Sus scrofa: one gene and its partners. Each later gene encodes a partner of the first gene's protein in a complex. Links are inferred from orthologs where the notes say so. Each region holds a gene or a part of one and is shown in the gene's direction. Other genes may lie near its edges.

Region 1 (3,500 bases):
GTGACGCAGTGGAAATGAATCTGACTAGGAACCATGAGGTTTCAGGTTCAATCCCTGGCCTCCATCAGTGGGTTGGGGATCTGGTGTTGCCGTGAGCTGTGGTGTAGGTCACAGACACGGCTTGAATCCTGTGTTGCTGTGGCTGTGGCGTCGGCTGGCAGCTGTAGCTCTGATTGGAGCCCTAGCCTGGGAACCCCCATGTGCCTCAGGTGCAGCCCTAAAAAGCAAAAAAAAAAAAAAAAAAAGAATGAAATTAACTCGTGGGAGTTCCCATCATGGTGCAGCAGAAACGAATCTGACTGGTAACCATGAGGTGCAGGTTTGATCCCTGGCCTCGCTCAGTGGGTTAAGGATCTGGTTTTGCCATGAGCTGTGGTGTAGGTTGCAGATGCAGCTCAGATCCTGCATTGCTATGGCTGTGGTATAGGGCAGCAGCTGCAGCTTCGATTTGACCCCTAACTTGAGACCCTTCATATGCCAAAGGTGTGGCCCTAAAAAGCAAAAAAAAAAAAAAAAAAAAAAATTGTGGTCCCTGGGAATCCATTGAAGCTTTTTGAGTGGGCTGTGGCATAATCAGTTGTGTTTTAGCATCTAAGAAGCTGTGTAACTGATGCAGAGAAGGCTTCCCAGTTGTGGCGATATTTGAAGAGAAGGTTTGCTGGAAAGCTTGCTTTCCTATACCAAAAAATTACTCCCAGCATGTTTTCCTGAGATGTGATCTCTTTGCTTGACCTGCTAAACACTGTGTAACTGGCTTGGGTGCTACATAGGTGAGTCAGTATAGACAAGTGAATAGAATGATTAGAAGAATATGAATAAAATCCTGTGAGATGGGCACAGATAAGGAGCTGAGTTTTGCAGAATGAGTAGGAATTTGCTAGACATAAAGGGAATAAGGAGAGACTTGGAGCCTAATTGAGTTCTAGATCCCAGTTTTTCTCTGGGAGGACGAATTGCCTGTGTCTTCCCTTCTCCCTCTCAGTGACAGTGTGTGAATTTCAGATCCTCACCGACTGGCAGGATAAGAAAGGTGACCGACGATTCCTGAAGCTGGGTCGAGACCATGAGCTTGGAGCTCCCCCCAAACATGGGAAACCCAAGAAGCAGAAACTGGAAGGGAAGGCAGGACATGGGCCGGGCCCTGGCCCTGGGCGACCCAAATCCAAAAACCTTCAGCCCAAGATCCAGGAATATGAATTCACTGATGACCCTATCGACGTGCCACGTATCCCCAAGAATGACGCCCCCAACAGGTTCTGGGCCAGAGAACATAGATGGGCCTCGGGATTCGGGCATTGGAGGCTGTGGTGGGGCCCAGGGCTGAGGTTGGTGGGGGAGGGGCCCTCACTCAGGCTCTGCTTCGCCCTGCAGATTCTGGGCTTCAGTGGAGCCCTACTGTGCTGACATCACCAGTGAGGAGGTGCGCACACTGGAGGAGCTACTGAAACCCCCAGAAGATGAGGCTGAACATTACAAGGTAGCGACCCCCAAGCCTAGGTAGATGTGGAGAACAAGAGGGCTCAGAGTTGCCTCAGAATCTGAGACCCTAAGCTCTGCATCATCTTCCTTCCCCTGTGCTGCCCAGCCTCCTGTCTGCTCTGCTAACCCACCTCAACATACAGGCACTAACGTCACCTTCTCCTTTCTAGCCTATGTAAATGGTCACCATGACCTAAGGCCTCTTCCCTAGTGAGGTCTGTTTCTCTCATCACCTGCCCTTCTTTGGCTCAAGCCTTCATCAGCCTTTACCTGAACAGCCTAACACTTTCTTCCTTCTAGAGGGATTCTTTTTTTTAAATTTTTTGATGTGTAAAAGTTTACTTTTTTTATGAGGAAAATAAAAGAGGTTCCATTAAAGAAAATGTAGAAAATACAGAGAAGCATTGGAGGGGAGCTCTCTCCAATAGGTCAGCTGTCATGATCAGATGTGCTCATGACATGACCCTGCTCTCTGGCCTCTCCCTGGCTCCTGTTACCCAGAATCGAGTAGTCCAGGCATCTCAGTCCATGGTGGCACAGTCCCAGCGCCTCTCTCCTGTTTCCTTGGCCACGCCCCCTCCTCACTGCTGTGTTTATCAGCAGCACCCCCCCCCAGGGTCCTTGCTGGTCTCTGGGCCTCTGCACATGCTCTTCTCCCCTTGGCAATCTGACACCCTTCAAAACCCTGATCACACATTACTTCCACCAGAATGCCTTTGCAGATTCCCGAGCAGAAGATGCACTGCCACAGCACCTTGACTTGCCTCTGTCACTTGCCTAAATTTTTAAAGAATTTATTTGAAAAAGTTATCCATAGAAGCAGTAATAAATTCAAGCAACGCAAAAGATATTTCCCTCTCACTTCTGACCCTGAGGCCTCTAGTTCTCTCGGAGACAATAGCTGTCACCTGAGATGGTCCACATATACATACTATTCTGCACCTTATACTTGGAAATTGTTCCGTTTCGTCTTCCGTGTGTGTTGTACTTCTTTTTGTACCTGGCTTCCTTACTAGACTGTGAGTGTAGAGATTTTATCTCCTTTGTCTCTTCTCACCTGTACCATGCTCAGGCCTTGTCCCTGGGTGAGCTACTTGGGAGACAGAGAAGTGAAGGAGTAAAGAATGAACAAAGAGTCTGTTGGCCATCCCCACTTCACAGAGAGCACGCACGCCCCAGGCATGCTGGCCCGTATTCACTTCTTTGGGGCCGGGTGGGATGTCTCCCACAGATCCCGCCCCTGGGGAAGCACTACTCCCAACGCTGGGCACAGGAGGACCTGCTGGAGGAGCAGAAGGACGGGGCTCGGGCAGCAGCCATGGCTGACAAGAAGAAAGGCCTTATGGGGCCACTGACTGAACTAGACACTAAAGGTAAGCCCTTCACCTCCCTGCCTACCCCAGGCCAGGACTTGAGTTCCCAGAACTTAAGCCCACCTGTCTGTCTACCACTTCTCTGCCCACCTCAGACGTGGATGCCCTGCTGAAGAAATCTGAGGCCCAGCATGAGCAGCCAGAAGATGGGTGCCCCTTTGGTGCCCTGACACAGCGCCTCCTGCAGGCCTTGGTGGAGGTGAGCACCCCAACTCAAAAAAGGAACTGGTATCTACCTTCTGTTTCATTGTTTTACTTTTAATTTTTATTGGAGCATATTATACATTTAAAGGTACACAGCATGAGAGTACAACTTGATAAATTTTCATAAATGAGCACCTTTATACAACTAACCTCAAGATCACAAAATTAAACATCATCAGTATTCTAGAAGCCCCTCTCATGCCCCTCCCAGTTCTTAGCCTCCCCCGCAAGGTAGCCACTGCTCCACAGTTACTTTTGCTGAGTGTTGGCTAGGGCCTATGCAAAGGACTTTCTACACATCCTCTCGTTAAAGGCAAAGACAGTGGTTAACCCCATGTTATACCTAAGAAGACTGAAGTTCAAAAAAGGGAACTGTTTGCTTGAGGACACACAGCTTATAGAAGCAAGACTCAAACCCCAGGTTTAGGCCCCCTTTCTTTATGC
Region 2 (4,291 bases), on another chromosome or scaffold:
AAGTGTGTTTCATACCAGGGTCTGAATATCTGAAAAACAAACAAACCAACCCTTTATACCTAGAAGAAAACAAATTATCTGAAACTGGCTGGTAATATGTTATAAAGCAAAAACTTCCAGTTACCCCATTAGAATTATTCTCTAACAAGAGAACTAGAGGCCAGGAAAATACCTTAACATTGCAAAGACTCTTGGATTTAGGTTAACACGGGGAAGAGTAGCTTGAATGGGAAGAAGGTTGCTCAATTTGGGATTAGATATTGTGAAATCTGTTTCTGGATGTCTCTAGGCATAGGCTGGATTATAAACTCTATATCTTGCTGTGAACAAGGGAGCGGACGAGATTACTTAAGATCCTGTCAAGCCTGCTGATCCTTGGAAATGAAAGCCTAATTAAGAGGCTCCCTAGGGACAGGTCAAAGGCATTCTTTTATCTCTACTGCCCCTAATCCAAGTTCCTTGATGGTTTATTCCTCCCCTTTCATTCAGCCTACTCTAAAACTGAAGAATACACATTGTGCAAGTTTCCAACTCTGCTTCTCCTACTGTAAACGCATTAGACAATTAGAATTAAGAATTTTAAATCTTTCATCCCTCATATCTAAACATGATGTTTATTTTTCAAGTGGTTTTGAATAGAGTTTAACATTAAGCATTCGTCTAAACTTTTTTTTTTTTTTCAATTGGACAACAAAATTTTCAATGCTTGACCCCGGAATACTACAGAGCCCTTCAGATATCTTTTAATACAGTTATCTGGATAAATAATAACTTGTTGAATTTTAATTCGGATTTATCTTTATTTTCAAAGATGGTGTTCACGCAATTACTTATTTGGGTTAAATTCCTGTTGGAATCATGTTGACATTGTTTTCTTTGAAACAGTTTTAGATGAGTGTGTATACCATATCACTCAGAGAACAGCAACTATGCAAGTTTTAAAACTTGACAGAATTATTTTGCAGATTTAAAGTAGTATTCCCTTGATAGTAAATGAGGCATAAAAGAGGGGTATTTTGGGGGGGAGGTGGTTATATCCTCCTCTTTCTCTCATGAAAAAAAAGTGATGTTAAATTGTGTATAGACGAAAATGTTCTACCCAATTATGACAATTCTGTGTGTTTTCAGTGTTTAGAAATATGTGTGGATCCACTGCGTCCCTGACCAGCGATCTTTCTAAAGTGCCGTGGTAAAATCTCAACTTTAATTTGGTACTAAAACTCTAACATTTAACTACAAGTTTTCTCTTAGCAACACTCATAATCAACATCTAAGCGTCAAGCTAAGCTTCAAGAAGCTAACTCTCATTAGATAACGACTCCAAATCACCATCTCAAATATTGCAGCAAGCCAAGCCCAGGTTGGCAATCTCTTGCTCACGGTCCTTGAAGGAATGCTGTAGTTGCACCTTATTGGTGCACATGCTTGTCAGTCATGTAGGGAAGGTGGGGTCTTACAGTCTCGCTCTAAATGAGACGCAGTGTGTTTACATCATCGGGGAGCGACGAAGGCAGGAGAGGGAGGGGTGTGTTGTGAGCACACCTTGGTGCTGGTGGGGGTGGCCTACGAAAGTGTCATGGCTGCCGCCGCTGAGCTTAGTCGCGCGACCCTCGGTGACAGGAGCATGGAGCGGAGCTGCAGCCCCAACCTCTCCCAAGAGGTGGTCTGCGAAGTCTTTCGCTCCTTGCATACCCTTGCTGGACAAGTGAGTGGTGGGCTTTGGGAGTAGGGATCTGGGAACCGTCCGGCCCCTCCCCCTCTCCTTTCTCCGGCGGAGGCGGGGGCGGCGGAGGCCTGCGGGGTGTGGGACCCGGCCCAGAATAGCCGAGGCTGGGGGAGGAGCTCGGGCCCGGCCGCCTGTGGTCTAAGTGAGGCTGGCCGCGCGTGGGTTAGTTCAAGACCGGTTGCAGGCTAGATTTCTTTGCAACTCTTCTCCCCAAGAGCGAATGAGGATAGTGTAAGTGAAACCCCGCTAGGAGAGAAACAAGCTCGAAGAGAATGCGTGCGGAAAAGCTGTGAGGGTTTGGGAGGCGCCTAGCGCTGTGGATCCCTTTTCCTCCAATTCATTCATTATAGAAATTGATAGGTTAGTCTACGGCCTGAGATTTCTGGAAAAGCTCCCTCTCCGCCTTTTTTGGGTGATTTACCGTTAGGAGTCAGTTGGGTTTGTTTATTTCTTCTTTCTTTCTGGCTGTTGCTTGCATCTCTTCCCCTTTCAAAACGGGAAGGAAGAGAAAAGGAATTAATTCAACCACTTCTAGTGTTAAGTTGGATAAGTTATCCCTGGTTTATACTGTTTGCATCACAACTGTTGACAAGTTATTAAATATTAACTAGCTTAACTGGCTGATAAATAGCTTTTGTAGAAATATCATTATAGAATCGAACAAATAAAAGTGCTCTTTACTCTGTTCCAGTGAAGTCACTATTTCGTTTCATGATGTAAGATGTAAAGGAAATTTAAAATGCGAACTTGAAAATACCGTTTGTCTGCTTTTAAAAGGAAATCTTTTTTTAAATCTTAGATAGGATTAGGTATTTGTGTGGAAGATAATGGTAACATCCTTTATGAAAATAGAGCGTTTGATTTGTGAAAATTACTTTTAAAAGCCTTCGGTGGATGGATAATCAGTTTTTTAAAAGGTTATTTCAGTATTTTTAAAAATTCTAATATATTCTGACTTAAAAAGAGTATTACTCAAAATTAAATACACAATTTGGTGTAAGCGAATAATTATCAATAGAATCGGCTAAAAGAGTTGTTTTTCAAGGACTTAAATATTTTTTTGAGACAGGGACATTAATATTTCAGTGTCAAGACTTAAAACCTCTAAATGGTTTAAAAGTTTGAGAACTTTCTATGATGTGACTTTGGAACTTTAAGGTTTTTTTTTTTTTATATCCTAATGTCAAGATGAAAGGTTAATGCTCACCTGTAGTTTACAGACTTCCCCCCACTGATGAGATTTTTTTAAATAACATTAAGAAATAATTTAAACATTTTTGAAACAGTTGGCATACTGAATTTTTAAAACTTATTTTAACATTTTAAACATTCAACTATTCTGTAGGAAAAGTATGATTACAAATTATTTATGTCACCTCAAAAATGTTTAAATATTTGGTGAGTTTTATTGACAGTGAAGGAACCATTTATACAAGTGTTGGGGAAAAAAAATCATCTCATCAATTAACTGCTAGCCATTTTGATAATACTCTATATTTTGAGATGTATAAAGATAAGGATGAAAGCCAGAGTACTATACTTATAAAATTGCCCCTAGTGGGAATCATTATTTTTTTTTTGAAACTGGTTTAAGGAATTTCTTTAACTGTATGTTGTAAAATGCCTAGTTCATTCTATATAGTATCATTGTATTATTAGCTCTCCTCAATAGGAAACATAAAATTGAATGTTTAAACAGTATTTTCTATCCTAGATTTCCAGTTTACTAATTTTAACTTTATTACTTGCCTCTGGATTGTCCATTTTACAAGCTGAAGAGTTATTTATTATTAGCTTGGATTTTCATATTTATAAAGTTTTTACTGAAATGCATATTTTAAATGGTCCATATTAATGGCTGACTTATACATTTTCGAGTGAATGTTTTAGAGTTACAAGTTCTATAGCCTAAAAATGCATAGAATTCATATTACTAATAGGGAATTTGTTGAATAATAATTGAATGTATTGGGATAGTTTTAAAGTTAATTTTTAATGTTGTTATATGGTTTTCTTAAAAGACCAAGTATCTTGAATTTCACTTGAAAGCTTACATAATTCTGCTGTATTGAAATGAGACTATGATCCAAACATAAATTAATTTCTATAAGTTACTATTTGGTAAATTTGTTGCTTTGTCTTGGTTGAGGATTTGCATTATCCCAAAATGTATATATAAATTTGTTATAACCAACTATAGATCTCTTTGGAACTGTGAAAGTATAGTTTACTTTCATACATAAGTTGTTGTCTAACAAAATCTTTATAGGCATTAAATTAATTAAGATTAATGTAGCAATCTTAATGTAAAACTTTAGTTAAATTAATATAAACTCATCTGCTAGTGCAGCCTACACAAAACTTAGTTCCTTATGCTTGTCTGATATGGACTTTAAATATTCCTGGTCAAAGGGTGGAAATTTCTTTCATATAGCATTCAATATAGTGCCTTTGTGGGAACTTCATATCTTTTCAGTTTTTTGTACAGTGATTCATTCATCTTTTTGCTATATTGTAATCACAATTCATAAGATCTATATTTGAACTAAAGTAATATATCTTTAT
Region 3 (3,500 bases), on another chromosome or scaffold:
TGTGCAGTGGGTGTGGCCCTAAAGAGACCAAAAAGAGCGTTAGGTCATCCCCCTCCTTGAGGCTGCGCCTTGGCAGTTAGGGTCTTGTGTGCTTTCCTGGGCCTTTCTCACTAGTCTTTAGGCTCGTGTTGTGGTCCCTGGGGGACGAGTAGCTGACGGCCAGTCTCTCCTGACAGTGGCCTTCTTGAGGCGGTGGCTAAGGTTGATTGCTGATGGGGGTTCCTGGTGACAGGTCGCTAGCCCCTGTGACTTGTGGCTTCATAGATCCCCTTAACCCGGGTCCATCTGGAGCCGGGGTCCCCTCTGTTACCTAGAGAGGAGCCAGATCACTGAGGTCAGTGCCGCGTCCGCAGCTGCCGGGCCTGCTCGCCTGGCGGGGCAGGGAACCCAGGCTGTGTGCGTGGACGGGGAGGCGGCACCGCGGCAGCGTGAATGCGCACAGACCGAGCCGTGGCGCTTGTGAAGCCCTGGGCGTGTTAGCTCTGCGCTGGGTGCAACAGAAGAGTCATCCTCTTCCTTCTTCTGGCTGCCCCCACCGGCCGGCGTGGGGACACTCCCGCCAGGGATCAAGTCCAAGCCGCAGCTGCTCCCTGCCCCGCTGCTGCGCCGACGCCGCGTCCTTAACTGGCTGTGGCACATCGAGTAGAAGAGCCGTCGTCTCTTTTAAGCCGTCTGTTTTACTGTTTTCCTTTAAATATTTTGAGTGAGAATCTTAGAGCGTCGAGGCAGAATTTACCTTTAAACACGTTTAGTTTTGCTCAGAAGAGTTAAAAAACAGTACCCCCAGTGGCCGTATCCCTCGCTCAGCGCCGCACGGGCAGGAAGCGGACGTTCCATCGCGAGCAGAAGCAGGAGCTCACGCGCAGACCCACAGACAGGGAGGGGGCCCGCCACCCCCGGTGACACGTTGCAACATCTCCCCGGTCCGCACACGACTTTGCGTGTCTCTGACCAGACACACGTCTTAATCGGGTCTGGCTGCCGTGCTCTGCTGATCCCGGGAGCCACGTCCTGGCCTCGCAGAGGGTGGACCAGGGTCCCCTCCTGCTGCTTCGCCCTGGTTGGGATTTTTCCTTAGTTTGAAGGGTGGGCAGTGCATCCATAAAGTTGAGAAGGCTAAGTCATAAAAAGGTGTGAGTGATGTACCCAACCCCGCCCGATGCCCTGGGTACTGTCCTTGGAAAGAGTCTGAGGCGCCGCCAGCACAGCCCCTGTGGCCCCGTTTTGGCACAAGGGTGGCCACGCGTGCTCCCACTTCTGCGGCGTGGTTTCAGCTGCCTGGTGTGCCGGAATGAACCTGCGTGAGGACGCACGTGCTCCCTGGCTTCCTTGCTGCCTCCATCCTCTGCTCTCCGTTCCCAGAGGGTCGGGATGGACAAATGAATGAAGGTACCTGGCTGTGGTCACATGCGACCTGGCCATCCAGGACCCTGTTCTCTGTGGCTTCGCATGCCCCCCCGCTGCGTGGTGCTCTGAGCACCTGGTGGTTTCTGGAGAGCAGGCCGCTGAGGCTCAGGGTGGACAGCAGACCTGTCAGGAGGGCAGACCTCTCACGGCAGGTCTGCGCCGGACCAGGGATGGGGCCAAGACCTGGGGCCCAAATTCCTGAGCGTGCAGCCCAGGATGGGTGCAGGGGCGTGGGGAGAAGCCGCGGGGCAAGCTCGCCTCGCCCCTGGCTGCCCTCCTGGCGCCTGCAGCTTTGAGTGGGTGCCGGCTGGTGAGCGCATCCGTTCCCCCCGTCCCAGCTCCTTGCAGGGGCTCCTTGGCCCCGCGGTGTGGGGGCAGGAAGAGTATTAAGTCCCCCAGCGCCTCAGCAGCGCCACGAGGGGGGCCTTTTGGGGGAACAGCCTCCTGTGGCTCCATAACTCTGAGGACTTGCGGATCTGAGGTGGGAGTGGCCTGCCTGGGTCACAGAGTGACAGTGGCTGCTGGGTTTGGTGACTTGCTTTTGGTTTTTGGACCAGATGCTCCCTGGAAGGGATAGCGACGCACTTGGTGCTCACCGTGACTTTTAAAGAGGAAACCGTGCAGCCAGTCCACCTCCACGAGGCAGAGTCGAGTGTCAGCTTCTCCCCTTCTCCCTTCCTGGTGCTCAGAGGCCTCTGGGGTCAGGCCCTGCCCTGCTTCTGTGTTCGGGGCCTCTAAGCCCCACCCTGCGCAGGCCCCCTGGAGGGAAGAGGCCGCTGAGGCCCCGCGACGCCGGGCTGGTCACTGTGCCACGAATCCTTCCCTCCCCGCGGTGCCCAGCTTGTCAGCACGTTCAGCCCGAGGGGACTGGCTGGGTTCCCGTATGGCCTTCGAGGGGTGCAGAGACCACCCCGATCTCAGTCGGGGGTGAGCGATTCTGGGGCGGCAGGGAGCCTGTGCCGGAGCGGGGAGGGCAGAGAGGGGGCCGAGCGAGGCAGGTGGGGTGCTGCGCGGCCGCCGGGGGGAATGAGTGCGCATTTTGGGCAGTCACTTTCTGAAGTGGCTTTAGCGGTTGACTTAAGGAAGAGGCCTCTTGGCAGAAGGAAAGAGTGAGGGAGTTGTACAATTTCCTCCCATTAATAACCCTGTGTTCGCGGGTTACCTTCTGGAGGGATGCGTGCTTGCGGCCTGGGGCGGGTTTCCAGCTGCCTGCCGGACCGTGGGGGCTGCTAGAAGGGATGGCTCTCCTCCCCCTTTAAAAGGCTCTTTCCTGGAGTTCCCATCGTGGCTCAGTGGGTAATGAATCCGACTAGGAACCATGAGCATCCATGGGAACCATGGGTGAAGGATCTGGCGTTGCCGTGAGCCGGGGTGTAGGTCCCAGATGCAGCTCGGATCCCGCGTTGCTGAGGCTCTGGCGTAGGCCGGCAGCTACAGCTCTGATTTGACCCCTAGCCTGGGAACCTCCCTACGGTGGGAGCGGCCCTAGAAAGACCAAAATAAATAAAAAAATAAAAGTCTCTTTCCTAGTCATCTGACTGCCACCTAGGAAAGGGACATGCTGCTGGCTCTTGGATCTGAGGGGGGTCAAAGACAGAGCCTCGGCCCTTCCGTGGGCAGGTTTGCAGGAGGGAAGAGGAAGTGGCCTCTTGGACTGGTCCTGACTGAGCTCGCGCTTGTCTTGCTCCTGTCTGGATCCCCACTGGGTCCAGTGGATCTCGGGAGGCTCCTTCCAGCTCGGAAATCCTCGAGATCCCATCTGCGCGCCGGGGAGAACCGTGCTTGAGTGTCTTTGGGGAGGTGGCCATAATGACGTCATAAAGTAGTTCAGGGGACCCTGTGCAAAAATGTTAAAGGAATTTGCGCCTCCCCTGACTCTGGAATGACCTCTGCGCTTTGTCGTTGTAGGAAGACATGGCTGCTCACGTGGGCGCTTCCCGGACCCCCCAGGAAGTGATGGAGCATTACGTAAGCATGTACATCCACGGCAACCTGGGGAAAGCCTGCATCCCTGACACCATCCCCAACCGGGTGACAGACCACACCTGCCCCAGTGGAGGCCCCCTGTCTCCCAGCCTCACCACCCCCTTGCC
Region 4 (4,254 bases), on another chromosome or scaffold:
TTCACACAGCTGCCTCCCCCATTTAATGATTAGATTTCTGCTTATGATTAAGAGGACTTCCTTGTCTACTGCATCCAACAGAGTGTCCCCACATCACTCTTATCCCTTTATCCTGATTTTTTTTCCATAAAAATTGCCACATTACTGGGCATTATCTATTATATACTATGTGTATTGCTTATTGTCTAAATATTGCTTATTGTCTACCTCCTCCACGATGAGGCAGAAACTTTGTTTTGTTCACCGAATTCCCAGCACCTAGAACTGGTATCTACTCATTAAAAATTTGATAAATGAAAATAGATTTCCAGGGTATATCAAATGTAAAACTACTTTATATTTTTTGAATGAAGTATAGAAAAATATCTAGAAGAATGTAAGGCAAAATGGTAACCATTTAACATGGTAGGAGCTGGTTTTCATTTTTTGTTCATGCAAATATTCTTTTTTTTTTAGAACGAACTTGTATGACTAAGAAATGAATAAAAAGGCCACACAGGCAGGTGTAAATGATTTCTCTAAGAGGTTGGGCAAATTGATGGAAGAAAGACTTCTAAATAGATGCATGAGCATAATGGCTAAGACAAACCACTGTTTGAATGCCCTTCCCCAACACCATCTAGCTGTGTGAACCCAAGTTATTTACAAGGTAGAGTCTAAAGGTCTTCACCTGGAAAATGGGGATGATAATATTACAAGTGTCTTTTCCATAAGGTTATTTTTGAAGATTAAATGAGACCATGTATGTAAACTCCTTTGTACAATGCCTGGCATGCAATAAATACTCGACAAATGGCAGCTATCATAATAATAATAATTAGCAGTAGTAACAAGAGATGTTGGGACATACCTAGCCCTCAAGACTGACATCAGAGTGGACCACCACATCCTCTCATCATCGCGCCTCAATTTGGGCACCTAAAGCCCAAAGAGAGGATGGTTTTTCCAAAGAAGATAATTTCGACGTTCCAGAAGCATCTGAATCAAACGTACCCCATGTACCCTTGAACCATTCAGGCAGTCTGGTTAATCCATGAGTAGCACTGCAAGACCCGGCCTCGAGGGGGGACCACCACTCGCCGTCCTTGGGCCCAGTCCCTCAGCCTCCATTTCCTTTGAGGCTGCAACAGGGGTGGCAGGAATGTTACAAAACGCAAAAGCGGGGCTGTACCGGCCCGCTCCAGCTCACCGCACTCTGGAGGGGTCAAACGGCAGCACGCATCCGCAAGTCTGCGGCGACGAGCAACGCGCCCCGAGGGAAAAGTGATTACTGGTCCGACTCAAAAGTCTGGCAAACTGCTCAGAGCCCCATCCTCCCAGGCCTCTGCTGGAGGCGGGCGGCGAGCTCTCGGCGAGGTCAGGGGCTGGAGCTGAGAGAGGGGAGGCGGCGAGCGCGCGCCACGCGGCGGGGCCGCGACGGCTGGGGCGGCGCCTGGGCGGAGGCGGCGAGCGCGCGGCCCGCTCGCGCCTGCGCCGCTCGGGAGCGAGCACGCAAAAGCCCGGGCGCGCGCACGGCTGGCGTTTCCTCGGCGCGGAAGAGGGGGACGCGGCGAGGTGAGGCACGAGGCGCTGCGGCACGGGTGGTGGCGTGGTGCGGCGCGAACCCCTCTCGCGGGACGAGGGGGAGAAGGCGTCCTCGAGGTTCCCCGAGGGTGGGGGAGGGCTGCGGACCCCAGCGGCGTCGGGGGCGAGAGGGTGAGTCGGCCCGACTGGCGCGAGGCGGGGGCCACGCCGTGCGGTGGGGGAGGGCGGCGCGTGCCCGGCCCGAGCCCTGGTGCCCCGCCCCGCCGCGAGCCTGGCGACTCCCGCCCCCTGGGCGGTCCTGCTGGGTTCCGGCCTCCGCTTTCCTGACTTTGCGTTGGAGGGCGTAATGCGGCTCACGACAGCGTATGGTTGATGTTACCTGTTGTTCTCAAGTAGGCCTTCCAAATAGATATTTCAGGTTCATTTTAGAGCTGTGCTTGTCTGAGCCTCCAGTAAAATGACTTGCCCAAGATCACAGTTAATAAGGAACAAAATGAGGCTTCGAATCTTGTTTGCAAAACTCCAAGCCTGCCCCTGTCCTCTGAACTGCAGTGAGTGAGTAATCTTCACGTCCCTTCCCTCCTCCCAGTAATTTCTTTGAACAAAGCAGATGTTAATTTGGAGCTAGCACCCAGCCTTTCGTGGGTATTAGCGTCAGAAATGTCTCCTGTGTGAAAAAAAGACGGGGAAAAAAAAGATTCTGCTTATTGCAGTATTGCACTTACAACGTGGAGTGTTCACGAGACTTTATATAAAGTTCCTTACTTGACTATCTCTAGTTGACCTCTGAAGTGACATTGCTATTCACTACGTCTAGGACATTGTGCCAGTAACACAATCTTTTAGCATTTCCTTTCCCTCCTTGAAAAAGCAACATGTCTCTGAAGGTTGTAAGGATTCAGAGATGATCCACATACAGTGGTACCACAGTACCTGGTATATGAGAAAAGTTCAATAAGTTTTGGCCATTATTTTATTATTAAGTGCATGATACCACTTACTAAACTCACTTTTCTTCAGACTCATTTTCCTGGGGCTAGACCAGAGGGAGAACCACCCCAACCTACCCTAAAAAAGACAAGTTCATTGACAGTGTTGTATATTCTTAATGATAAATTATTCTCCAAGCCAAAACTATCCAGTGAAAGAAGTCACTGCAGGAAAACTAAGGATGAATTAACTTTTTTGTAGAATTAGCATTTATTTGTCCATTACATTTTTGTTTATTGAGTTCTTTCTGTGTGGCATTGTGTATGGTACTTTAAGACATACAAATTTGTATTTGATGTAGTTCCTGTTTTCATTTAGGCTAGAAATGGGAAAAATATGCATCCATAAGTAATCTTCACAGAGCAGTGTGAAAAATGCCGGAGAAGGGATAGATAAAAAGCTATGGGGAGGAGTTCCCATCGGGGCTAAGTGGTAAAGAACCCGACTAGTATCTATGAGGTTGTGGGTTCAATCCCTGGTCTCATTCAGTGGGTTTAGGCATTGCCCTTGAGTAATGGTGTAGGTCACAGACATGGCTGGAATCCCACGTTGCTGTGGCATAGGCTGGCAGCTGCAGCTCTGATTCTGTCCTTCGCCTGGGACCCTCCATGTGCTTCAGGTGCAGCCCTAAATTAAAAAAAAAAAAAAAAAAAAAAAGCTATGGGAGGAGTTCCCACAGTGGTGCAATGGGTTAAGGATCTGACATTCCGAAGCTGAGTCGTAGGTCTCAGATGCAGCTTGGGTTTGATTCCTAGCCCTGGGAACTTGCATATCCTGAGAGTGTGGCTGCAAAAGGAAAAAAAAGCTATGGGAGTATAGAAGGTGATATTGGCTTAGTGTGAAATATGAGTTCATTTATGTCTTAATAAAGATACTTTGTACATGGTACTTAACTGTTAAATATTTGTTCAAAGAATAAATTAGTGAACAAAATTTGTCATAATAGATAGGGTTTTTTTAGTTTGTTGTTGTTGTTGCTATTTCTTGGGCCGCTCCCGAAGCATATGGAGGTTCCCAGGCTAGGGGTTGAATCGGAGCTGTAGCCACCGGCCTACACCAGAGCCACAGCAACTCAGGATCCGAGCCGCATCTGCAACCTACACCACAACTCACTGGGCAAGGGCAGGGACCGAACCCGCAGCCTCATGGTTCCTAGTCGGATTCGTTAACCACTGCGCCACGACGGGAACTCCATGGTTTTTTAGTTTTCTAGTGATAAAAGTTCATTCGTATTAAAGTATTTTTGAAAAGATAGAGAAATGGAAAAAAAAAAAAATTTGTGCCATTTTTGGGAATGAGTATCTCAACAACCAGAGCTCATGAACCAGATTCTTTGGCTAGTGAATGACTGAGCTCTAACTGCCCTCTGTCCTTGTATATCTTACAAGATTCAGGTTCTGTAAGAAGAGTTTTAGTTGCTTTAGCTGCTATGGGGGTGGGGGACGGAGTGTTATGATTTGCAACAACCTACTCCCCCAAAGCCGTGTGAAATGTGGGAGAGTCACTTTCCTTCCCTAAGGAAGGAGGGCTGAGGAGAGAAGTGATGCTGCACAGAGAGAACCAGTTGTTGCCTATTAGAAATATATAGCCTTTGTAGAGGGCTTATCATGGGCCAGGTGCCATGGTATATTATTTATGTGGATATTGATTATTTTAATCCTCACAACTCTAGGAAGTAGATATGATTGTATCATATTCATTTCCAGAGGAGGAAACAAGCTTATAGAGATAAAATAATTT
Region 5 (3,236 bases), on another chromosome or scaffold:
TTCTGATCTGGATCATTCTGTTGCCCTCCCTTCAGTGAGGGGCTCCCAGAAATTGCAGGGGGCTGTGCCTCCTCATCTGAAGGCAGAGGCCGTCTCTGTTCTTAGGCGCCAGTTCCCTGAGGGCAGCCTCCAGTCCCTCCAGTGTCTGTCCCAGGCTGCTCCCTTGGTTGGAGGATGGAGCTGTGGGACAGACTGTGCCTCTCCCCCGCCAGATTCCTGTCCATGCTGGAGGAGGAGATCTACGGGGCAAACTCTCCGATCTGGGAGTCGGGCTTCACCATGCCGCCCTCGGAGGGAACCCAGATGGTGCCCCGGCCGGGTATGTGCCGTGTGCGGCCGGCCGGGCTCCGCAGGCTCTCGGCTTGGCCCTCCCCGCCTCTGTGGAGGAGGGGCTGTGCGTGGCGGCAGTGGGGAAGCACGGGAGGGCTCGGCCGTGGGTGGGAGAGTCCACCTCCCTTTGCAAGATGCGCCAGCGCCTTCGCTCTCCATCCTCTGGTTTTTTCGTGTCTCAGCTACAGTCAGTGCCGCGGTTGTTCCCAGCGCCCCCATCTTCAGCCCCACCATGGGTGGGGGTGGCAACAGCTCCTTGAGCCTGGACTCCGCAGGAGCCGAGCCCATGCCAGGTGGGTACTTGACCCCTGACCTCCGTCCTCGTCCCCCCCTCCCCCAACTTCTGCTCTCCCCGGGAGACCTTGTCAACCTCCTCAGCAGGCGAGAAGAGGAAGCTCCCCGAGAACCTGACCCTGGAGGATGCCAAGCGGCTCCGTGTGATGGGCGACATCCCCATGGAGCTGGTCAACGAGGTCATGCTCACTATCACGGATCCTGCTGCCATGCTGGGGCCCGAGGTGGGCCGCCTGGCTTCCTGACCGGTCGGGGAGGGGGCCTCGCCACCTGAGCCCCCTGCTTACCGCCCCTCCTCTGGCGCCCAGACGAGCCTGCTGTCGGCCAATGCAGCCCGGGACGAGACGGCCCGCCTGGAGGAGCGCCGTGGCATCATCGAGTTCCACGTCATCGGCAACTCGCTCACGCCCAAGGCCAACCGGCGGGTGTTGCTGTGGCTGGTGGGGCTGCAGAATGTCTTCTCGCACCAGCTGCCGCGCATGCCCAAGGAGTATATCGCCCGCCTCGTCTTTGACCCGTACGTCCCCAGGAGAGCCCAGCGCTGCCATGCCCAGGCACCTCCGCTTAGGCTTCTCCACTGCACTCGTGCATGCACGCACGCGCGCAGACACACACACACTCCTCTCTCCAACCCTGGGCACGTTTTGCTCCTTAGTTCCCAGCACTGAGTATAGCTCAGGCCTCCAGAGCTGCGGGGTCCTGGGGAGTATCTGGGGTCAGGTAGGGCCTGTGACCTGACACCTCTCCCTTCAGGAAGCACAAGACTCTGGCCTTGATCAAGGACGGGCGAGTCATTGGTGGGATCTGCTTCCGCATGTTTCCCACCCAGGGCTTCACGGAGATTGTCTTCTGTGCTGTCACCTCAAATGAGCAGGTCAAGGTGAGTCCATGCCCCTGGCCCCAGCTCCATCCCACCACCTGCTTCTTCATCTGGATCCCGTCATCCCACCCTCCTTTAATGGCCAGGCAGTTCCTCACCCTCCCACAAGGTGGCAGTTGTGGTTGATGACGGAATCAAGGAAACACCCGTTGACAAATGGAGCCCAAGAATCAGTTACACTTCTGTTTCCTTCTAGTTGGGTTTTTTTTTTCCTTTCTTTTTTCTTTTCTTTTCTTTTTTTTTTTTTAGGGCCACACCTGCGACATACAGAAGTTCCCAGGCTAGGGGCTGGACAGAGCTACAGCTGCCGGCCTACACTGCAGCTTGTGCCAATGCCAGATCCTTAACCCAATGAGCGAGGCCAGGGTTCAAACCCTCATCCTCATGGATCCTAGCCTGTTTCTTAACCCACTGAGCCACATCGGGAACTCCCTCATAGTATTTTGTTGTTGTTGTTGTTGTTGTTGCTATTTCTTGGGCTGCTCCCGCAGCATATGGAGGTTCCCAGGCTAGGGGTTGAATCGGAGCTGTAGCCACCCGCCTACGCCAGAACCACAGCAACGCAGGATCCGAGCCGCGTCTGCGACCTACGCCACAGCTCACGGCAACGCCGGATCGTTAACCCACTGAACAAGGGCAGGGACCGAACCTGCAACCTCATGGTTTCTAGTCGGATTCGTTAACCACTGCGCCACGACGGGAACTCCCCTCATAGTATTTTTGAGGTAAAACTGACCCATAGGACTGTGTGAGTTTAGGGTGTGCAGCATGGTGATTTGAGTCATATGCGTTTTGAAATGATTACCACAGTAAGTTTAGTGAACGTCCATCATCTCATATAGATACAAAATTAAAGGAATAGAAAAAATATTCTTTCTTTGTGATAAGAACTCTTCGGATTTATTTAATTTATTATTATTTTTTTTTGCCTTTTCTCGGGCCACTCCCACGACATATGGAGGTTCTCAGGCTAGGGGTCAAATCGGAGCTGTACCCACCGGCCTACACCACAGCTGCAGCAACACAGGATCTGAGCTGAGTCTGTGACCTATACCACAGCTCATGGCAACGCCGGATCCTTAACCCACTGAGCAAGGGCAGGGATCAGGGATCGAACCTGCAACCTCATGGTTCCTAGTCAGATTCATTAACCACTGAGCCACGACAGGAACTCCTCTTCAGATTATAGTAACACTTTTTTTTTTGTCTTTTGTCTTTTTTGGGGCTGCACCCATGGCACATGGAGGTTCCCAGGCTAGGGGTCCAGTCAGAGCTGTAGCCGCCGGCCTACACCACAGTCGCAGCAATGCAGGATCCAAGCCAAGTCTTCAACTTTCACCACAGCTCACGGCAATGCTAAATCCTTTACTGAGCGAGGCCAGGGATCGAACCGTCCTCATGGATGCTAGTTGGGTTCGTTAACCTCTGAACCATGATGGGAACTCCTACAGCAACACTTTTGAGTGGATCTGTATGTCCTTCATCAGAAGAACTTTTACTTGACATTGCGGAGTTAATAAGTTTTACAACAGCCCTGAGCTGGGTGGGTGATAATTCTGGTTTCTGTCCTTTATTGTTACAACAGACCCCCTAGTAGGATCCCTAGTTGTCCAGTTTTACAGATCTGAACAGGTCTGCATGGTGCCTCCTTGATCCTGATGTGTGCAGAAGTCACTGTCTCTGGGGGTTCAGATGCTGCGATGAGTGGAGTTCCCCCTCCCCCACCCAGTTC
Region 6 (3,500 bases), on another chromosome or scaffold:
CACAGGCTTCAAGTAAGGGAAATCAACTTACCCATTTTGATTCTGGGAGATCTACCAATCTCAGTACTTCTTGCATTTTGGAATCAAATTCAGGAAATGGAAGAGCAAAAGTGGAGATAATGGGCAGGAGGATGGAAAGTCTAAAAACAAATAGCGCTTCACTGATCCAGATACCAGCATTCTCTTTGTAATTAGTAAAGAGAGAACTTGCACAGCTTTGTAGGCATCTTTCCCATAATTCCTAGTTAGGATGTAGATGCAGTAAGTGTTATCCTCTTGATTACCAGTTAATTCAGCTGACCCAGTTTGGGAGGGCTGATGGCCTCCTGTTCTCTGTATTCTGTACTGGTTATTCCTGATGCTTGTACTCAACTGATGAAGACAACTTCCAGATAGAAGTTATTCCAGATGGAATAACGTTAATTGCTCAAGGATGCTTGAATAGTTGGGGGTCTTTCTAAAGTGCTCCCAAACAAATCAGAAGTGAAGGGATTGAAACAGGGCTACCCAGTGACAGGCAGCTGGCCTCCTCTTCCAGACAGACCGTGATTACCTTCAGAACCAGATGACTCCATCCCTAAGTCAATTCGATTGCAAAGTAATCTAGATACTCAGTTATTTACAAATATAAATTGTCATTTCACCAGTGCACAAATAATGCAAATAGCCAGTCCTCCAGAGTGGCATAAACAGAATTAAGCCACATTTTGTAAAGTATTGGGCAGAGAGCCTTTCACCATGAAAGACATAATAACCACAGAACAGTATTGCCAGAACACACGGAGCAAGAGAGCCAAAAAAGAAATTGTTGCAGATGTGGGGTTCATGTCAGGATTCTGTACTGGATCATTAACTTTTCATAACATGAGAGAGGACCAGGGACCCAAACACAAGGCAGGAAAACATGACAGCCTCACCAAAGGGCAGGCAAATCAATGTAACCCCCGATGGAGAGCCCATGGTTGTGCCTGCCTTTGAACCATGAATCTCTCCACTTCCCTTGTTCAGGGAAAATGGAGGTGGATGGGATGGGGTAAAGGAGGGTGAGGAAGTGGAGAAGAAGATATTCAAAGCTGGTAACTTTCTGAGCAAATTCTCCAGCCAAGTAGAGAATCAGAGTGAAACCTGAGCTCAAGGGCCATCGGTTAGCTGTGGGTGGTGTGTGCTTTCTGCTTTGTTCCAGCCTTCCTTACTGCTAGTTAGTTCTATGTTCATCCATTCCTAGGTGCAGAGGCAAATGCTTCCCTTTTTTGGAACCTGGCCCATGTGAAAATGGAGCCTCAGGAGAGTGAAGAAGGCAATGTCTCCGGGCACGGCGTGCTGGGCAGCGACGTGTTTGAGGAGCCAATGTCAGGCATGAGTGAAGCTGGGATCCCCCAGAGCCCCGATGACTCAGACAGCAGCTATGGCTCCCACTCCACTGACAGCTTCATGGGGTCCTCCCCTGTTTTCAACCAGCGCTGCAAGAAGAGGATGAGGAAGATATAAAAGGCAAAGAGGGAGATTTTCTGCCCAGACCTACAAGACCCAACAACAGACCATGATACATTTGGTTTCCGTAAACAGCGATTTGACTCTTCTTCTTAAACACGGTGGATTTTCCTGATTTCAGTGGAACTGGATTTAAACCAAATAAGTTTGCATTTTCCTTTTGCATTCGGTTTTATAGTTTTCTACAACAACCAAGCCACCTTTCACAAACATGATGACGCTGGGGTAGTAATCGAGACAAATCACTGTCCCTGACTGTTGTCTTTACTGTGTGACAAGTGACCTAACTTCTCTAGAGCCATTTCTCTTGCACAACTGAGAATCCTACTGCTTTGACCGACCTTGCAGGGACGTTATGAAGATGGAAATGGTATTAAGCCTCAAAGCTGTGCTTGAACAGACGCACAAGTAAATATATGCTGATGTCAATTTTTTCTTTTAACTTGCCTCACTTTTGGTTCAGGTCTTTGGGAATCCAGTGCTAATGCCTAATAGGAAATAGCTAAACACTGCACAACTCACCTTTTTTCCCAAACTTTTTGCCATCCATGAAGTCTCCTAAAAAATCAGAGGGGTCTGTGGCAAACAGCCTTTTTGCTTATTCAGATAGCACCTCTCCTATCTCGGCCACATAGTCTTTCTCTAGACTTGTGCCATGGATCCCCATTTTTTGTCTTTACTTTCTGATTTCCACTCAGATTTTTTTTTTCACTATGTACATTTTTCAGTTGCTTCTTTCATTTTCTCCTTTGTAAATGAAGCAAACAGGACCTGTCCAAGGACAGGGTTGTGCCATTTTGTTTGTTGCATCGGCTTGGCCATCAGAGGACAGTGGTCCGTTCCTTTGCCAGAACTCTGTATCTGCACGTTGTGCTTCTCCTGGATGGACAGCCTCTAAAAGGATGACAAGATGCACCTTTCTACTTTACAGCATGTCCTGAACAACTTTACTGCTATTACTCACCCGTCATAGTATCTGCCCTGGTTGGCACCTGACAGTCTCAATCAGTATTTATTAAATGATGTGGCACTGGGATGATTAGGAGTAATTAGCAAATGTGTGTATGTTAAATACTGCTGAGGTTTGGTTTGGGGGTGCAGAATACAAGTCTTGTGAGATTTAGGGCACTCCTTTAGTACAGACCAAAAATCAAGGCCCACATTAGAGGGCCTTAAATGTCCCAGGCATTGAGAATAGAGATAAGTGCAACAGCAACAAAATGAGGTTATAATTTAAACTGTTAACAGGTTTGCTAATTGCACATCCTTGGTACATTTTTCTAAATGCTTCCTGTTCCAGGCTTAGCTTCATTTTCCCTTGTTTATGAAAGTACACATCAGGTGGTCAGTTTCCATAAAGTAGCCACCTAGTATTTCATTCATTCACTTAGCAAACATTTATTGAGTACCTACTATGTACTAGGCCATGTGCAAGGATACCTAGATGAGTATTTTTGTCCCTGCCCTTATGGAGGTTATGGCATAAGCTGGACAAGTTCCTCCTTAAGGAAAAAGTATTCAGAGGCACGAAGGGAAAGAAAAAATTGACATCTGACATCAGCATGTATTTACTGTGCAGATGGTTCCTATGAAGAGGCTCAAGTTTTTACACCGGTGGTATTCGTTTAAAATAGAGTATTAAAATTAATACTTCATGGTAAAACAAAATACTTTTATTTTTAGAATGTTTAAATTGGAAGAGAGGCACCAGATGGTCCTTGTCCTGGTTGGGGTACTCTGATAAAGCAGGCCATGTGAGCATTGATACCTGAGATTCACTTGGCCTGGAATTAGTTGCGTTACAGCAGTGTTTCTCAAACTTAGCATGCATCAGAATCCCCTGGAGGCCTTGTTAAACCAGATCGGTAGGCCCCACCCCCACAATTTTTCTGATTTAGGTCCTGAGTGTCCTGTTCGTAGTAACTCCTCAGGTGATGCTGATGCTTCTGGTCCAGAGACCACACTTTGAGAACCACTGAACTGGAATACAGGTTAGGCAGGGATAAAAT
Region 7 (3,500 bases), on another chromosome or scaffold:
AAATTTTTAATGAGCTTTAAAGAATTTTAAACAGGCGTTCTTGTAGTGGCTCAGCAGAAGGGAATCTAACCAGTATCCATGAGGCTGCAGGTTCGATCCCTGGCCTCACTCAGTGGGTTAGGGATCTGGCTTTGCTGAGAGCTGTGGTGTAGGTTACAGATGCAGCTTAGATCCTTTGTGGCTGTGGCTGTGGTATAGACTGGCAGCTGTAGCTCCAGTTCGACCCCTGGCCTGGGAACTTCCATAAGCTGCAGGTTCAGCCCTAAAAAGCAAAAAAAAAAAAAAAAAAAAAAAGAGAAAGAAAAAAAAAATAGATATTTTATTCTTTTCTTGCAGCCTCAAAACCAACTTTAGATCCCATCATTACTGTTGAGGGACTTAGGAAACGGGCAAGTCGGAATCCTGTGGAATCTGCCATGGAATTGAAAGAGAAAAGGTCTCGGACTCAGGAAGCAAAGGACATCAGAAGAGCCCAGAAGGAGGCGGCTGGCTTTCTGGACCGGAGCACCTCATCCACCCCCGTAAAATTTGTAAGCCGAGGCCGCAGGCCAGATATGATCCTGGAAAAAGGAGAAGTGATCGACTTTTCTTCCCTGAGCTCCTCCGACCGCACCCCACTGACAAGCCCATCTCCTTCTCCGTCTCTGGATTTCTCTGCCCCTGGGACCCCCGCCTCCCACTCAGCCACACCCAGCCTGCTGTCAGAAGCTGATCTGATTCCAGATGTGATGCCGCCACAAGCCTTGTTTCACGGTAAGACCAACGGTTCTCAGGTTCTGTGTTGTGTGTGGGCCTCCATGTCAGTGGGTCCGCTCCCCCTCGTGGGTGGTGGGCCTGCATTTTCCCTCCTCTTTTCTGTTGCACACAGATGATGATGAGCTGGAAGGCGACGGCGTCATAGACCCTGGGATGGAGTACGTCCCGCCCCCTGCCTGCTCTTCCGCCTCAGGGACAGGGGTCGGGGGCAGAAAGAAGGTCAGGGCCCCTGAGCAGATAAAGCAGGAGGTGGAAAGTGAGGAGGAGAAGCCCGACAGGATGGACATTGATAGTGAAGACACAGACTCCAACACATCCCTGCAAACGAGGGCTCGAGAGAAGAGGAAGCAGGCGCTGGAGAAGGACCGTAAGCCCAAAGGGCCCAAGTTCACCCCTGTGAGCATCTACGAGGAGAAGCTGCTCCTCAAGCGCCTGGAAGCCTGTCCTGGTGCCGTGGCCATGACCCCAGAGGCCCGGCGGCTGAAGCGGAAGCTGATCGTCAGGCAGGCAAAGCGGGACCGAGGGTTACCGCTCTTTGACTTGGATCAGGTTGTCAATGCGGCGCTTCTCTTAGTGGATGGGATTTATGGGGCCAAAGATGGAGGAGTTTCCAGGCTTCCAGCTGGACAAGCCACATACAGGACAACCTGTCAGGACTTCAGAATCCTTGACCGGTACCAGGTGAGTTTTGGCCACACTCCCTGACTCCTGGGGCTGCTGCTCCATGGAGCACGTGCAGGAATGCAGGACAGAGCAAGAGAGAGAAATACAGAAATGACTGGGTTTGGGAGTTCCCTGGTGGCCTTGAGGTTAGGGATCTGGTATTGTCACTGCTATGGCAAGCAACTTCCACATGCTGAGGGTGTGGCCAAAAAAAAAAAAAAATGGCTGGACAGTATTTTTTTTTTAATTGTCCAATGTCCCTTAGTATATCTGAGTTTGGTTCTTTTGTCTTCCTTTTGGGGATTTTGGACAGAACCTAGACTCTGTATCTTTTAGCTGCTGAGGGTGGCTGTACATGGCGCTGATTGACAGGTTTGTTAGGACAGTGCACTAGACACAGCTGAGCATTAGTGAAGGAGTGTGGACATCTGTGTCATCGGGAGACACCCTAAGAAAACAGTAGCCAGGGTCAGCATGGCTGGAAGACCTCGGTGGAACCCTGTCTGTGCTCTCGGGAACAGTGCTTATTACTAACCAGTTAATCAGATTAACTTGTTTTGCTAATATGATGGCTGAAAATGAAATCTTGTTTTTTATTCATGTTTCTTTGGTTACAGGTGAAGTTAAACATTTTCCCTGTTTCCTGGTTGTCTGAGAATTGCTTATTTTGATTATTTCACGTTTTCCTATCTTCTTTGGGAACTAGTTGGATCTGGTCTCATTGCCTGTCTTTATTGCCAGTGTTCTGATGCTGTTCAGTGATGTACTGTGTGGGGCTTTTCTTTTCTGCTGCTGGGCTTTGGTATATGGCTCTTTCCATATGAAACGCTCCTTCTTGAGTTCCAGAATTTCCTAGCTTCTCTTTGCTCTGCTCCGTCTGTTAGGAGCACCCCTCTCATTTGGATGTTGGACCCTGGGGTTGGCAAGCCTTTTCTGCAGAGGGTCAGATAGTAAGCAGTTTTGGCTTTGCAGGCCAGCACTGCCATATGGTATGAAATCAGCATAGATGGTAACAGTGAGTGGGTGTGGTTCTAACACAGGTTGGATTTTTTTTTAATTTATTTTTTTATTACTCACCGAGTTTATTACATTTATAGTTGTACAATAATCATCACAATCCAATTTTATAGGCTTTCCAACACACAACCCCAGTGCATCCCCCACCCCCCGAACTATCTCCTTTGGAAAGCATAAGTTTTTCAAAGTCTGTGAGTCAGTATCTGTTCTGCAAAGAAGTTCAGATTCCACATGTCAATGAAAGCATTTGATGTTGGTGTCTCATTGTATGACTGACTTCACCTAGCATGATAATTTCTATGGCCATCCATGTTGCTAAAGATGCCGGTATTTCGTTCCTTTTAATGGCTGAGTAATATTCCGTTGTGTATATGTACCACACCTTCTTGATTCACTCTTCTGTCGATGGACATTTAGGTTGTTTCCGTGTCTTGGCTATTGAAAATAGTGCTACCATGAACATCGGAGTACATGTGTCTTTGTGAGTCATGGTTTTCTCTGGATAGATGCCCAGGAGTGGGATTGCTGGATCAAATGGTAGTTCTATTTTTAGTTTTCTGAGCAATCTCCATACTGTTTTCCACAGTGGTTGCACCAATTTACAATCCCACCAACATTTTAGCAGGGTTCCTTTGTCTCCACACCCTCTGCAGCACTTATTGGTTATAGACTTTTTGATGATGGCCGTTCTGGCTGGTATAAGGTGGTACCTCATAGTGGTTTTGATTTGCATTTCTGTAATCATGAGTGATGTTGAACATCTTTTCATGTGTTTTTTGGCCATCCGTATGTCTTCTTTGGAGAACTGTCTGTTTAGATCTTCTGCCCATCTTTGGATGGGGTTATTTGTTTTTTTGGTGTGGAGCTGCAGAAGGTGTTTATAAATTTTGGAGATTAATCCCTTGTCAGTCGATTCATTTGCAAAGATTTTCTCCCATGCTGTGGGTGTCTTTTTGTGTTGTTTAGGGTTTCCTTTGCTGTGCAGGAACTTTTAAGTTTGATTAGGTCCCATTTGTTTATTTTTGTTTTTACTGTCATGATTCTAAGAGGTGCATCTGAGAAGA

The links.
Region 2: TADA3 (region 1) and MBIP share a complex: the UniProt entries of both Homo sapiens proteins name them as parts of the ADA2A-containing complex. The link is inferred for Sus scrofa from reciprocal best matches to the Homo sapiens genes TADA3 and MBIP.
Region 3: TADA3 (region 1) and TADA2B share a complex: the UniProt entries of both Homo sapiens proteins name them as parts of the TFTC-HAT complex. The link is inferred for Sus scrofa from reciprocal best matches to the Homo sapiens genes TADA3 and TADA2B.
Region 4: TADA3 (region 1) and TADA2A share a complex: the UniProt entries of both Homo sapiens proteins name them as parts of the ADA2A-containing complex. The link is inferred for Sus scrofa from reciprocal best matches to the Homo sapiens genes TADA3 and TADA2A.
Region 5: TADA3 (region 1) and KAT2A share a complex: the UniProt entries of both Homo sapiens proteins name them as parts of the STAGA transcription coactivator-HAT complex. The link is inferred for Sus scrofa from reciprocal best matches to the Homo sapiens genes TADA3 and KAT2A.
Region 6: TADA3 (region 1) and SUPT7L share a complex: the UniProt entries of both Homo sapiens proteins name them as parts of the STAGA transcription coactivator-HAT complex. The link is inferred for Sus scrofa from reciprocal best matches to the Homo sapiens genes TADA3 and SUPT7L.
Region 7: TADA3 (region 1) and KAT14 share a complex: the UniProt entries of both Homo sapiens proteins name them as parts of the ADA2A-containing complex. The link is inferred for Sus scrofa from reciprocal best matches to the Homo sapiens genes TADA3 and KAT14.

Annotation. Positions count from the first base shown.
Region 1 is NC_010455.5:66,073,473-66,076,972, reverse strand, and holds part of TADA3 (transcriptional adapter 3), read left to right. Parts: intron 1-1,002; coding exon 1,003-1,253; intron 1,254-1,371; coding exon 1,372-1,477; intron 1,478-2,710; coding exon 2,711-2,852; intron 2,853-2,947; coding exon 2,948-3,051; intron 3,052-3,500. UniProt on the Homo sapiens protein: Functions as a component of the PCAF complex. The PCAF complex is capable of efficiently acetylating histones in a nucleosomal context. The PCAF complex could be considered as the human version of the yeast SAGA complex.
Region 2 is NC_010449.5:63,657,732-63,662,022, forward strand, and holds the start of MBIP (MAP3K12-binding inhibitory protein 1), read left to right. Parts: upstream 1-1,491; 5' UTR 1,492-1,576; coding exon 1,577-1,705; intron 1,706-4,291. UniProt on the Homo sapiens protein: Inhibits the MAP3K12 activity to induce the activation of the JNK/SAPK pathway. Component of the ATAC complex, a complex with histone acetyltransferase activity on histones H3 and H4.
Region 3 is NC_010450.4:3,818,114-3,821,613, reverse strand, and holds part of TADA2B (transcriptional adapter 2-beta), read left to right. Parts: intron 1-3,315; coding exon 3,316-3,500. UniProt on the Homo sapiens protein: Coactivates PAX5-dependent transcription together with either SMARCA4 or GCN5L2.
Region 4 is NC_010454.4:38,873,702-38,877,955, forward strand, and holds the start of TADA2A (transcriptional adapter 2-alpha), read left to right. Parts: upstream 1-1,454; 5' UTR 1,455-1,554; intron 1,555-1,555; exon of another isoform or gene 1,556-1,695; intron 1,696-1,879; exon of another isoform or gene 1,880-2,079; intron 2,080-4,254. Other genes in the region: ACACA (acetyl-CoA carboxylase 1), read right to left, coding at 851-870. UniProt on the Homo sapiens protein: Component of the ATAC complex, a complex with histone acetyltransferase activity on histones H3 and H4. Required for the function of some acidic activation domains, which activate transcription from a distant site. Binds double-stranded DNA.
Region 5 is NC_010454.4:20,641,493-20,644,728, forward strand, and holds part of KAT2A (histone acetyltransferase KAT2A), read left to right. Parts: intron 1-212; coding exon 213-319; intron 320-512; coding exon 513-623; intron 624-708; coding exon 709-848; intron 849-932; coding exon 933-1,141; intron 1,142-1,377; coding exon 1,378-1,504; intron 1,505-3,236. UniProt on the Homo sapiens protein: Protein lysine acyltransferase that can act as a acetyltransferase, glutaryltransferase, succinyltransferase or malonyltransferase, depending on the context.
Region 6 is NC_010445.4:111,538,170-111,541,669, forward strand, and holds part of SUPT7L (STAGA complex 65 subunit gamma), read left to right. Parts: coding exon 1-12; intron 13-1,225; coding exon 1,226-1,488; 3' UTR 1,489-3,500.
Region 7 is NC_010459.5:26,498,457-26,501,956, forward strand, and holds part of KAT14 (cysteine-rich protein 2-binding protein), read left to right. Parts: intron 1-336; coding exon 337-753; intron 754-868; coding exon 869-1,437; intron 1,438-3,500. UniProt on the Homo sapiens protein: Component of the ATAC complex, a complex with histone acetyltransferase activity on histones H3 and H4. May function as a scaffold for the ATAC complex to promote ATAC complex stability. Has also weak histone acetyltransferase activity toward histone H4.